Linked DNA regions of Macaca mulatta. The protein of the gene in region 2 interacts with the protein of the main gene of each other region in a pairwise test. Links are inferred from orthologs where the notes say so. Each region holds a gene or a part of one and is shown on either strand. Other genes may lie near its edges.

Region 1 (3,950 bases), on a different chromosome or scaffold from region 2:
CACAGGCTGGTGCTGCCCTTGTGCCCAGGCTGGTGAATGTGCCCGTCTCCCCGGCTCCTCCCCACTTCCTCTTTGTCCTTCCTCTTTCCCATCGTATTTTTAGAAATCTTTGAGCTTGCAGCCCTGCTTCCAGAACAGCTGGCCTCACTTCCCCTTTCCAGGGCAGGAGGAGGACCCATCTCAGGGCCCTAAATAAAGAGGCCCCTCAAAGTCTAAGTAGGAGGGACCTTGGGGCAGAGGGGGTGTGGGCGGAGCTGCTCCCCTCCCCAGCCCCACAAGCCCCACAGGCTCTGCAGAGTGTGGCTTCCTCTCCCCGAGCCGAGCTGGCTCTATTTTTAACTGCACCTGCCTGTCTTATCTGCACCAGCGCAGTGCTCGTCTTCGGCCACACTGGGGCTTTGCTGTCTGGTGCTCTCATCTTCCCGGCAGGCCTTGGGGGAGGGTGCCTTACCTGCTTCCGGACACAGGCCCACCTCAGGAGAGGAGGGGAGGCAGCCCTGGGGAACCCTGTGTCACCAGCCTGTCCATAATAAAGGTAGGAAAACTGAGGCCCACAGAAGGAAGAGACCATGACCACTGGCAGGGTGGTGCAGAGCTGGAACCTGAGCGAGGTCTGGCTAACTCCCAATCCCCGCTTCCCCAGGCCAGGCCAGGATGATGGCACCCACGTAGAGATGACAAATCGGAACTCAGAGAGGGGAAGTCACTGGGCCACGGAGAAGCCCGAATTAAGACCCAGTCTGGGCAACGGGGAAATGACCTTTCCTCCCTCCTGCTGGCCTCCTCCTCCAGGAGGTCTTCCCAGATCTCCTCTGCCCCAGTGGGAAAAGTCGCTTCCTCCCATCTCTAAGCCTGTGTCCATTTGCACGGCTGGGTCAGGGTCCTGCCGGATCTGACTCCTGCCTCTCCACCCCGCCCCCAACGTTCCAGACCAACACCCGTCCCCCAAGGTTAGGCCCATGGCTGGGTCACTGCTGTCCCCAGCACTCCTTAGCACACTGAAAGGTCGTTTGTAGAGTGAATGAATGAAAAGACCAACTACTCAATGGAGAACCAATTGACCCCATTAATCCATCGCTGCATTGACCCCAATTAATTCATTTCCTCCCTAGTACCGGCTGAAGCAAAGCAGATTCTCCCCTCCCGTGCCCTCTCCACAGCCCCGGCCAACTTGGGGCTTTCTCCCTCAGGTTCTCAGCCCTGCTCTGCCGCTGACTGCCCGTGTGACCTCAAGCAAGTCAGTCCTCGCCTCTAGTTCACCTCTGGGAGCCTCAGTTTCCTTATCTGCAATATGGGGACAGCCATCCCTGTAACCTTAGTATGTTAGGACCCCAAAGGACAAAGTGCCCTGCTGGACACACAGGCGGGGGTCTTGCATCTCAGTGGGTGCCCTCCCCGCCTCATCCCCACCCTCCTGTCTGCTGAGAGGCCTGAGTCAGGTGCTGCCCCTTGCTGGGTCTCCCTCCCTGTGCCGACCAGGTGTCCCCCAGCTGTGCTCACTGAGCTGTGATTTTGGGAACCTCCAAAGCCCACAGGAGAGGCAGGGGTCAGAGAGTGAGCCCGGGACAGGGAGTCACGGCACAGGGTTTGGTCCTGCCCCTGCCGCAGAGAGACTGTTTTCTTCGCTTGGCCTCTTTTCTCCCTTCTGCCACTGGGGGGCTGTTGAAATGGATCAGTGGTTCTCTAACTGTGTTCCCTGGTGGGGGGGTGGGGGAAGGGGGATGCCCAGTGGGCGGGGCCAGGCTGCTCCATGTTAGGTGCATTTGAAGCCAGGGTGCTCCCGGACAAGGCTGAGGTCATCTGGACCTGGGGAGCAGACAGCTCCCACCAGCCTGTAGATTCTGGAATTCCAGCAGCCGTGTTCACCAGAACCGTTGCAGCTCTGGAGAACACTGACATCCAGGGTACAGAAACTTGGCCCCTCTTCTGGACCTTCGATTTACCTCCCCAAACACAATCCTGATGTTCTTTTCCTCACCATCTTTGCAGCCTCCTTTCTCCTCTTTCTCCCCAGACACATGGTCCTAGTCCCTGGGGAGGGTTTCAATCAGAGCCTCTTGCTCACTCCCGGCCCTCCCCCGGCTCTAGGCTGCGTCCTCAGCCTCCCCAAAGACCACCCCAACCCCCGGCCAGAAAGGGACCTCAAGTCCCTTGTATCACCCAGACAAGCATCGCCGTCACCAACATCACATCATCATCTTAATCACAAGTCACTTTTCTCAGTTCACCTCTGAGCCTTTGGACTGGCCGTTCCTTCTGGCTGAAATGTTTGTTCCTTAGAAGGCCCCTTAGCTGATACCGTCCTCAGGTCCCTCATTAGACAGCATCTTGGGGCCTTTTCCACCATGCACTCCCCTCTTCCTTATCCTGCTTTACTGTTCTTCATCCTACCTGCCACCAACTGACGTAGGGCATCACATTAGAGTAATTGCCTGTTTCTCCCTCTAGAGGACAAGCCCGTGAAGGGGGGAACAGCGTCTGCTTTGCTCACTGCTGTGTGCCCAGCCCCCAGAACACAACTGGACACCTAGGCTGAGCCCACAAATGTTTGCTTCGCGCAGCTGCATTTTCCGCCTGTGCTGTATTCCTTTATCTAGGACCCTGTGAGGCAGGGGCTGCCGTCCCATTCTAAAAGAGAGCACCCTGAGGCCCAGAGAGGTGGACTGCAGTTGCTTACCTGGGTGGCACAGGTCCATTGTGACGCCCCTGGGGAAAAGATGACCCGTGTTCCTGTCGCTTGTCAACCCAGCTGCTGCTCGGGCTGACCCAGCAAGGATGCGTCACCTTGACTGTAACGGGCCCCTTCCTGCTTGCCCCGCCCAGCCCTGTGTGGGGAGGAAGTCAGTCCTGGCCCACTGGGGTCTCGTGTGCAGGCTTTTGACACAACAGCACTTCCTAAAAACTGGCAGAGTTTTGAGCAGCAGGGACCTTTGCCAGAGAGGGACAGAGGTGGAAACAAACAAACAAACAAACAGATGAAGTGAGGGGAGGGCCACATAAAAAAGAGAAAGACAGAAAGAAACACCCAGACGCATATGTACACACACACGTACACACGCACAGACACCGAGGGTGATGTTCACTGAGGATGAACATTTTCCAGGGAACCATGGGCATTTACCTGGCAACCTCCTCACATGAATGCCATAGGAGCACCCAACTTGGACAGTCCTAGCAGGGCCCCCTCTGTTCCACCCCACAAGCTCTCTTCCAACTCCCACTTAAGAAAAGACAAATGAATTCAGTGCTAGGAAGGACTTTCCTTCCCTTCAAAGAAATATCTGGCTTTTTCTTGTCTAGTGAACAATCGGGTAATATGCTCCATTTTCCTTCTCCCCCAGGCTGCTGGGAAACTCATCGTCAAATCAAAAGCTCATCAACAGCTTTTCTATGATGTCGTGTGAACTTTGGGGACTGACTCAGCTGTTTGACTCTCAGCTAGGGCTAGTCAGCCTCGCTTTGCTTATCTGTGAAAGGGGAATAACACTAACTCGGGGATATGGAAATGATGGAGTGAGAGGATGTGTCAGAGATGCTTGGGACATAGTAGGTGCTCAATAAACACTTTCTCCTTTGATTCTAATTTTCTTCTTTGGTTAAAATGTATCACGTTATTGCTTGTGTCTTTTCTGGCAGGTTGGTTCAAATCCTTTCTGGAAAAAGCTGTGCTGTAAAGAAACAGGTATAAATTAAATGCAAATTCCCTATAACTTCAGGACACATGCAGATTTGTTCATCTGCTTCCCCATTACTCTCCAGGTCCCATGAGGGCAAGGTTACCTTTTGTGCTCTGGTGTGTGGTAAAGTGCTGGGGACATAGAGGGTATGCAAGCGTGGAATGAATGAATGAAAGAATGAATGAATGAATGAATGAATGGAACATGGTGGAGATCACAGTGAATGTGAAAGCCAGCTACAAGTTCACCTCCTTTTCACTATGCCGCCACTTC
Region 2 (3,393 bases):
CCCAGGATGAGAAGGCTGAGGGCCTCATCAATGTCTCCAACTATAGTCTGGAAAGTGGACATGATCAGAAGAAGAAATAGTTAAGTCTTGGGATATGATGGGCTGGGGGATGGAGACAGAAAGGGAGAGGAAGAGTGATGGGGTGGCAGTGGGAGGTGTGGCAAGTAGCTGGGGCGCCCAGAATCCAGCCTCTCTGGGCTCTGGGTGGGCACGCCCAGGCTGAGTGATGCTCCTCCACTCCTTGACAGTGTGTTTCAGCTCACCCATGATGTGTACAAACCTTTCATCTTCGCTGCTGATACCCTGACAGATCTGAGCATGTGAGTGCTGCCTCCCTTAGCCCCTACTCTCATATAATTCCCAACCTCTGTGAGCTTGGGAGCCTGGGCTCAGGAGCCTGGAGATGCAAAGTCCAGCTCTCTGAGAGTGGTTGGTCAAGGTACTCACTTCTCTCTCTCTCTCTTTTTTTTTTTTTTTTTTTTGAGACAGAGTCTCACTATGTCAGCCAGGCTGGAGTGTAGTGGCGCCATCTTGGCTCACTGCAACCTCTACCTCCTGGGTTCAAGTGATTCTCCTACCTCAGCTTCCTAGGCAGCTGAGACTATAGGCGCCTACCACCACACCTGGCTAATTTTTGTATTTTTAGTAGAGACGGGGTTTCACTGTGTTGGCCAGGCTGCTCTTGAACTCCTGAACTTGTGATCCGCCCGCCTCGGCCTCCCAAAGTGCTGAGATTACAGATGTGAGCCACCGTGCCCGGCGTCTCTCTTTTTTTTAATTAAAAAGTTTTGGGGGCAGATGGGATTTGCTCTTTTGCCCTAGCTGGTCTCAAACACTTGGTCTTTTTTTTTTTTTTTTTTTTTTTGAGACGGAGTCTTGCTCTGTAGCCCGGGCTGGAGTACAGTGGCCGGATCTCAGCTCACTGCAAGCTCCGCCTCCCGGGTTTATGCCATTCTCCTGCCTCAGCCTCCGGAGTAGCTGGGACTACAGGCGCCCGCCACCTCGCCCGGCTAGTTTTTTGTATTTTTAGTAGAGACGGGGTTTCACGGTGTTAGCCAGGATGGTCTCGATCTTCTGACCTCGTGATCCACCCGTCTCGGCCTCCTAAAGTGCTGGGATTACAGGCTTGAGCCACCGCGCCCGGCCAACACTTGGTCTTAAACAATCCTCCTGCCTCAGCTCCCCAAAGTGTTGGGGTGACAGACGTGAGTCACCGCACGCAGTCAGTACTCAGTTCTCTAAGCCCCAGTTTCATCATCTCTAAAATGGGTGACTAAGAGTTCATCCTTCTCAGAGTTGCTCTGAGAATCATCAGAAGATGATGTGAGTAAAAAGCCCCTAGCATACAAGAGGACCCCGGAGAATGGAAACCCCGTGAGACCTGCTTGCTCTCCGTAGGTGGGTGCGTCATCTCATTACCTGCATCTCCAAGTACCAGTCTCCGGGCCGGGTGCCCCCGCCTCGAGAGGAAGGTAGGTGTCTCACAGGGTTGAGTAGGAGGAGCCCTCACCTGAGCCTCTGCCTTTCCTGGGATAGGGGCTGGGAATTCAAATGCCCTAGGCCACTCCCTGGCCTCCCCAAAGCCCACTGCTCCTCCTCACCCCAGACTGCTACAGTGAGACCGAAGCAGAAGACCCAGACGATGAGGCTGGGTCCCACTCAGCCTCGGTGAGTAGGGGGCTGCCGGGTGTAGGAGGTGGGGATAAATAGCAGGGCATGGAGCTCAGACAGAGACCCTCTGTGCTTTCCACCCTGCCTGCAGCCCAGCCCTGCTCAAGCTGGGAGTCCCCTCCATGGAGACACATCACCTGCAGCCACCCCCACACAGCGCAGCCCACGGACCTCCTTTGGCTCTCTGACAGGTGCTGGGCTGGAGTTGGGAGCTGGGCTGGGAGCTGGGGTGGGCACATCCTCATCCTGCTCCTCCCTCCCACAGACAGCAGTGAAGAGGCACTGGAAGGAATGGTACAGGGGCTGAGGCAGGGTGGTGTGTCCCTCCTAGGCCGGCCACAGCCCCTAACCCAGGAACAGTGGCGGAGCTCTTTCATGCGGCGCAACCGAGACCCTCAGCTCAATGAGCGAGTGCACCGTGTACGGGCGCTACAGAGCACACTCAAGGTCAGCTGGGGACTCTGGGCACAGCAAGGGACTAAGCTCTGGGCTTCAGGCTTTGGTTTGCAGCTCTCACCTCCACCCTGGGCACCAGACTCCAGACTCAGCTCTGGACTCTGAGCTTAGCAGCTGACAATGGGCTCAGCTGTGGACTGGGCCAGGCTCTGGGTTCCGAGTGGGGATTTGAGTCTCACCTGGGCTCCTCGTGCCACGCTGGCCAGGTGCTGGCTTCTAGGCACCAGACTCCAGAGTGAAGTCTGGCCTCAGACTCTGCCCACGTCCCTGGGTGATCACGGTCCCTTAGCCCCTCCTCTCCACACAGGCAAAGCTGCAGGAGCTGCAGGTCCTAGAAGAAGTGCTGGGTGACCCTGAACTGACAGGAGAGAAGTTCCGCCAGTGGAAGGAGCAGAACCAGGAGCTGTACTCAGAGGGCCTGGGGGCCTGGGGAGTGGCACAGGCTGAAGGCAGCTCCCACATCTTGGCCTCTGACTCCAGAGAACATACCCCCAACTCCCTGTCCTCTGACCCTGAAGAGCACTCCCATCTCTGCCCTCTGACCTCAGAGAGCAACCTCCAACCTCCTGACCTCTGACCCTGGCCAGCACTCTACCTCCTGACCTTTGACCCGAGGGCCACCTCAACCCCAGCTTCTGACATGTCCAGGACAGAGCATCCCTGGATTCTGTTCAGGGTGGGAAGTAGTACTGCTAATCACGGTCTCACCCCGAGCTGACCCCTCTGCCTGCGCTTTGTGCCACCCTCTCTCTTGCCAAAGAAGAAACTCTCCCACCCCATCCTCCCATCTCTGGGCCACAGCCCTGCCCCTACAGTTCCTTGACAGTTCTCCCCCAAAACCAGGTCTGTACAGGTGTTCTTTGTTTTACATGAGGGCTACTTTCCAACCAAATACAGTCAATTTTTAAAAAAATGAGTCTACATGTATCTTTACTTCCATATTTGAATTGGAAATCTGCCCCCCGGTGGGGACTGGGGTGAGTGCTCTTGGCCAGAGAGGGGGTGGCAGACCCTTGGTACAGCCCGTTGATGTACATGCGAGTACCTGAGCTCCAAGCCTGCCAGGATGGTGGGTCCACCTCTCCCCAGCTCTTTGAAGGCTAATGGTGAGCTCCTACCCCATTCCCCAGGGGCACACAATGAGAAACTTTCACTTCATAGATGGGGAAATGCACTTTGCATGGAAAGATGGTGGGGACAGTCCTGGAGACTGGGCAGGTAGGACAGGGCAGCTGGTACAGAGGGGTGCAGGTTGAGGTCTGCCCT
Region 3 (4,254 bases), on a different chromosome or scaffold from region 2:
AAGTCTTTTAATCTGACCATTAACAAAAAAAGACCTTTTCAATTATCTTTGGCCTCTGCGATAACTACTGTTGGAATAGATTATTTACCCTATCTTTTAAACAAGCCGAACTGACTCCCCCAGATACTGTTCAACATTATGTACCATACTCTAAAAATATACCAAAAAATGTTATGCTTTATAATCTGCTGGCAACTGAAAACGGTTTTCTTTCAAAGAGCTGAACTTTATTTTTTTAAACATGAATTTTAAAGCATTTTTTAAAAATCTAAATGGTATTAACTGTAAAGAGATATGTTAACTTCAAAACTTCCAACCGCCAAGAGTTAAATATAAGCACATAAAGTTTATACAATAATTACAATATCACTCATATTTCAAAACGTTTTCACCTGTTTCAAAAATAAATATCCTAATATTGCCAAAAATATTTTTAAGTGTCTGTCACACAGCAAGGGAGAAAGCTACTAATAAACTAAATCAATAAAGGTTAAAAGTTATTTTCCAGCACCTAACATGCTGGCTGGCATTTTGATGGGCAATCAATAAATAAATCCTCATTGTTGAATGTTCCAGTGAGATGAATTAAATGATACACTTAAAACATTCATGTCTTTGACGAGTTTTTTTTCAAATCTGAAATACACACTTATTTCAGAAACTTGGAAAATATAAAAAGAAAATAATCCATGTCACTAATTTTTATGTTGTTTAGACCATGATGTATAAAACGGCTTATTTTAATGGTTGTAAAATACTTCAATAAACTTCCCATAATTTACCTCACCATGCCCCTACTCTTGGCATTGCTGTTTCCAATGTTTTGCTATTATAAACAGCATAATACACATCTTTATATGTGAGGGGTTTAAGGTTGTTACCCTGTGATATATTCCCAGAAGAGATATTAACAACCCAAGGACAGTTTTAAGACTTTTGATATTTAATATCATGCTTTGTTACAGTACTCAAGATCTGCAAATTGCTGGAGCACATTAAAGCCGCCTTTTTTCCTCTTTATGCCTGCTTTTATCTTCAAGTCTACACTTCTTTACTCACAAAGCCCAAAGCACCTTACAAACAAAACTGCCAAGCCAGCTAGCTGCCTTGACGCTAATGTCCAACGTTTGCATATTACAGTTGTCTTTCTTTTCTAACAAGGGAAAACTGCTATGCCCAAATTGTGACAGGCAGGAAACACGACATCCACCGGGAATCCATTCCTTAGGATCTCATGGCTCCAGACGGACAGCCTGACTGTAGGAGGGTTCGCAACTCGGCTCCTTCGTTCCACAGCGCTCCCTTTTCATCAACACACCCACTCGGTGCCACAGTGCTACCCCAGCTTCAACTATGCGAACTGAACTCGCCAAATGCCATGACGGGTGCCAACTTCCCACCATCCTGGCTGCATCGCGTCTTTCAGCAAAAAAAAAAATCACCCTCTGAGCAGCACTTGAATTCTAGAAGGCACCTTGATGATGAACCACTTCATCCTGAAGCATTCAATCCTGCTGATTCTTACAGGCAGCTGCTCCGGCAGCCTGTAATTAAGATTTCTCTAAACTGCTCCCTTATTACATGGGGTTCTGATGATTCTGATGATTTCTCTGTCAGCTCAAAGGAGATCTTTAGGAAAAAAAAAAAAAAGTCTAGAGAACCTCAACTTCAGCTGTTCCTGTAAAAACACGGGCATTAACCCTTTGCTTTCCAAAGCGAACACCCACTCCATACAGAGGCACGTTCTTCTGTTTTTAAAATCTAATTCCCAGCATGACCTAGCAGTCATTTGTATTCCACGAAATAATTTCCAACAAACACGATTCCTCCAGCAAGAGGAAACCGAACGTCAGGCACAAGACCACCTGGGCCACGCCGGGCACCGATCCGACCCACTCGGGAGCACACGGGGCTCCGGGCACACCTGGCTCTCCGGTCTCGCCTCGGTGCTGGGTGCAGCTCGTGACCCCCACCCTCGACCCCACGGAGTTTTTTGCTCACTCTGTCGCGTCTGCCGTTTCCTAAAACGTCTACCCTGACCTGGACTCCAGCTGGCCCCCTCCCCGTTCGAGCAAATCCAGCGACCGTTTCTGACCCAAAGCCAAGCAGACTGTCACGCTTTCCAACCGTTCCCCGGCCCTCCCCTCCTGTACCCCCGAGGAGCCTCCAGTGCAAAACTTTCCCCTCCCGGTTTCCCACCGGCTCAGCCGCTTCCGCCCACCTGAGCTGAAAGGGGGCGTCCGAAACGCCGGACTCCGGAGGGCGTGGACGCCCTTGGCGACAAGATGCGGGGAAGGTCGCCCCGCAAGGTCCCCCGCCCCAGAGGGGCGGCCCCCGAATCCCGGCCCGAGACTCCGGGGCGACCCCGGCCCGCAGCAGCCCTGGCCTGGTACCCAGACCCTCGCCAGCGGTGGACGGCGACCCCGGCCCGCCCCCTCCCTTGGGCCCCCGGAGACCCCGCCGCGGCCCCGGCCCGGCGCGCCTCAGGCCTCCAGCAGGCGCCGCCGCCGCTGCCGCTGCCTCCGACCCCCTCTCCTCCGGCGACCCCCGGTCCCCGGCCCCCGACCCCAGGCCGCCCGCAAGCCCGCCACACCTCCGACACTCACCGCCACCACCCTCGCCGCCGCCGTCTTCATCCATCTTGAGGCCACTCTCGCAGCCGGCGAGCCGGAGGCCGGCAACAGAGGGGCCGAGGGCTGGGGACGCCGCCGGAGCGAGCGCGCGGAAGACCGGGCGGCTCCTCAGCTCGCGGCCCGGGTCGCGGCCGGGCCTCCTCCCGCCGGGCGGGGCCTCGCTGTTCGGCGTGCCGTCACGTGACCCATGCCCCGCCTCTGCTCGCAGTGGGTGGGGCGTGGGGCCGCGCGGCCCCGCCCTCTGGGACCGGCCGGGCCCGGCGGCGTCTGTGCTGGGGGAGGCGGTAGACCCCGCCCCTGGGGTGCGGGCCGACGTGGTGCGAGTGAAACGAAGCCCCCTCGCCCTCAGCATTCCAGTAGCCTGCGGACGGGCGTGGGGCCCCGGACACTGGAACGCAACACTCTGCAAAACCCAGTGGCCAGGGGTGCAACATACACGTGCACTGGGGGTAAAAGATCAGGAAACGAACGCATTCAGAAGTCAGGCCTGGCTAAGCTCGGTGGTTCACACCTGTATTCCAATACTTTGAGAGGCCGAGGTGGGAGGATGGCTAGAGACCAGAAGTTGGAGACTAGCCCCGGTAACATAGCGAGACCCCGTCTCTAGAGAAAATTTTTTTGATTACCTGGGCATGGTGGCCTGTGCTTGTAGTTCCAGCTACTGGGGAGGCTGAGGTATGAGGTCACGTCAGTTGAGCCCAGTAGGCAAAGGCTGCAGTGAGTTATCATTGCATCACTGCACTCCAGTCTGGGTGGCAGAGTGAGACCCTGTCTCAAAAAAACAGAAAAAGATCAGGCCTTCTCCTTCCTAAGACATGCATGTCAGAATAATTCCAGTCTTTCAGCTGTCTTATATATATTGGAGGCTCTCCTCCTTCCCTCCTGGTGAGTGCATGTTTAAATTAACAAAATGCAGGGCTTGTAAATGAACGTGGTCGTGAGATTAGAACGGAATCCCAGTCCAACACACCTAGGGCTCAGCTCTCAAAGGGCATTGTAGGCGTTGGCCAATCTGGCAGCTAATGCCCTTGGAGTTTAGCGCCGGTCTCCCTTGGAGAGCTGCCAGCTGTCCTGGATTTATGATGCAGAAGGAGCTCTGAATTCAATTTCCCTTGGGCACAGCCAGGGTCCTCAGCGCGGGCCTCCTGGGCAGAAGGCCTCCCCTGGCCCCTGCTCCACATCGATGGATCTCCTCCCTCACTCCCCATATCTCGCTTCCAGTAACTCCTGAAGCATTGCTTGTGGCCCCTCCCAAGCCTTTCTGCTGGAACTCAATTGCATTAAAGAAAAGCAAACATTGTAATGGAGGAGATAGCTCATCTCTAATATAATTTTCCAGCAACTGTTTTATATTTACAAGCTGTCCATTGAACCAAAGGATCCTTCCGTTGTCATCTATCAAAGTGGACAACTTTCACCTTTTGGTTCAAGGTTGCAGGATGATTTCAAAGTTCAATCTCCTAATAACCTCAAGAATTAAACACCAAGCATTCTCGTGCAACCAAAGCCACGAGGGACACTTTTTTTTTTTTTCTCCCGAGACCAGGTCTCGCTCTTTTGCCCAGTCTGGAGTGCAATGTCTCGAGTGATCCTCACACTTCAGCCTCCCAAATAGCTGGGA

Evidence for each region. The genes of interacting proteins can lie anywhere in the genome.
Region 1: the proteins of CNKSR1 (region 2) and CYTH4 interact in binary tests that used the Homo sapiens proteins (3 or more experiments, as listed by UniProt). The two-hybrid records come from large-scale screens. The link is inferred for Macaca mulatta from reciprocal best matches to the Homo sapiens genes CNKSR1 and CYTH4.
Region 3: the proteins of CNKSR1 (region 2) and CYTH3 interact in binary tests that used the Homo sapiens proteins (3 or more experiments, as listed by UniProt). The two-hybrid records come from large-scale screens. The link is inferred for Macaca mulatta from reciprocal best matches to the Homo sapiens genes CNKSR1 and CYTH3.

The regions. Positions count from the first base shown.
Region 1 is NC_133415.1:14,267,233-14,271,182, forward strand, and holds the start of CYTH4 (cytohesin-4), read right to left. Parts: upstream 2,801-3,950; 5' UTR 2,697-2,800; coding exon 2,678-2,696; intron 1-2,677. UniProt on the Homo sapiens protein: Promotes guanine-nucleotide exchange on ARF1 and ARF5. Promotes the activation of ARF factors through replacement of GDP with GTP.
Region 2 is NC_133406.1:214,821,764-214,825,156, reverse strand, and holds the end of CNKSR1 (connector enhancer of kinase suppressor of ras 1), read left to right. Parts: intron 1-5; coding exon 6-79; intron 80-248; coding exon 249-320; intron 321-1,398; coding exon 1,399-1,472; intron 1,473-1,606; coding exon 1,607-1,668; intron 1,669-1,762; coding exon 1,763-1,862; intron 1,863-1,936; coding exon 1,937-2,118; intron 2,119-2,434; coding exon 2,435-2,704; 3' UTR 2,705-2,893; downstream 2,894-3,393. UniProt on the Homo sapiens protein: May function as an adapter protein or regulator of Ras signaling pathways.
Region 3 is NC_133408.1:44,755,140-44,759,393, reverse strand, and holds the start of CYTH3 (cytohesin-3), read right to left. Parts: upstream 2,801-4,254; 5' UTR 2,641-2,800; coding exon 2,607-2,640; intron 1-2,606. UniProt on the Homo sapiens protein: Promotes guanine-nucleotide exchange on ARF1 and ARF6. Promotes the activation of ARF factors through replacement of GDP with GTP. Plays a role in the epithelial polarization.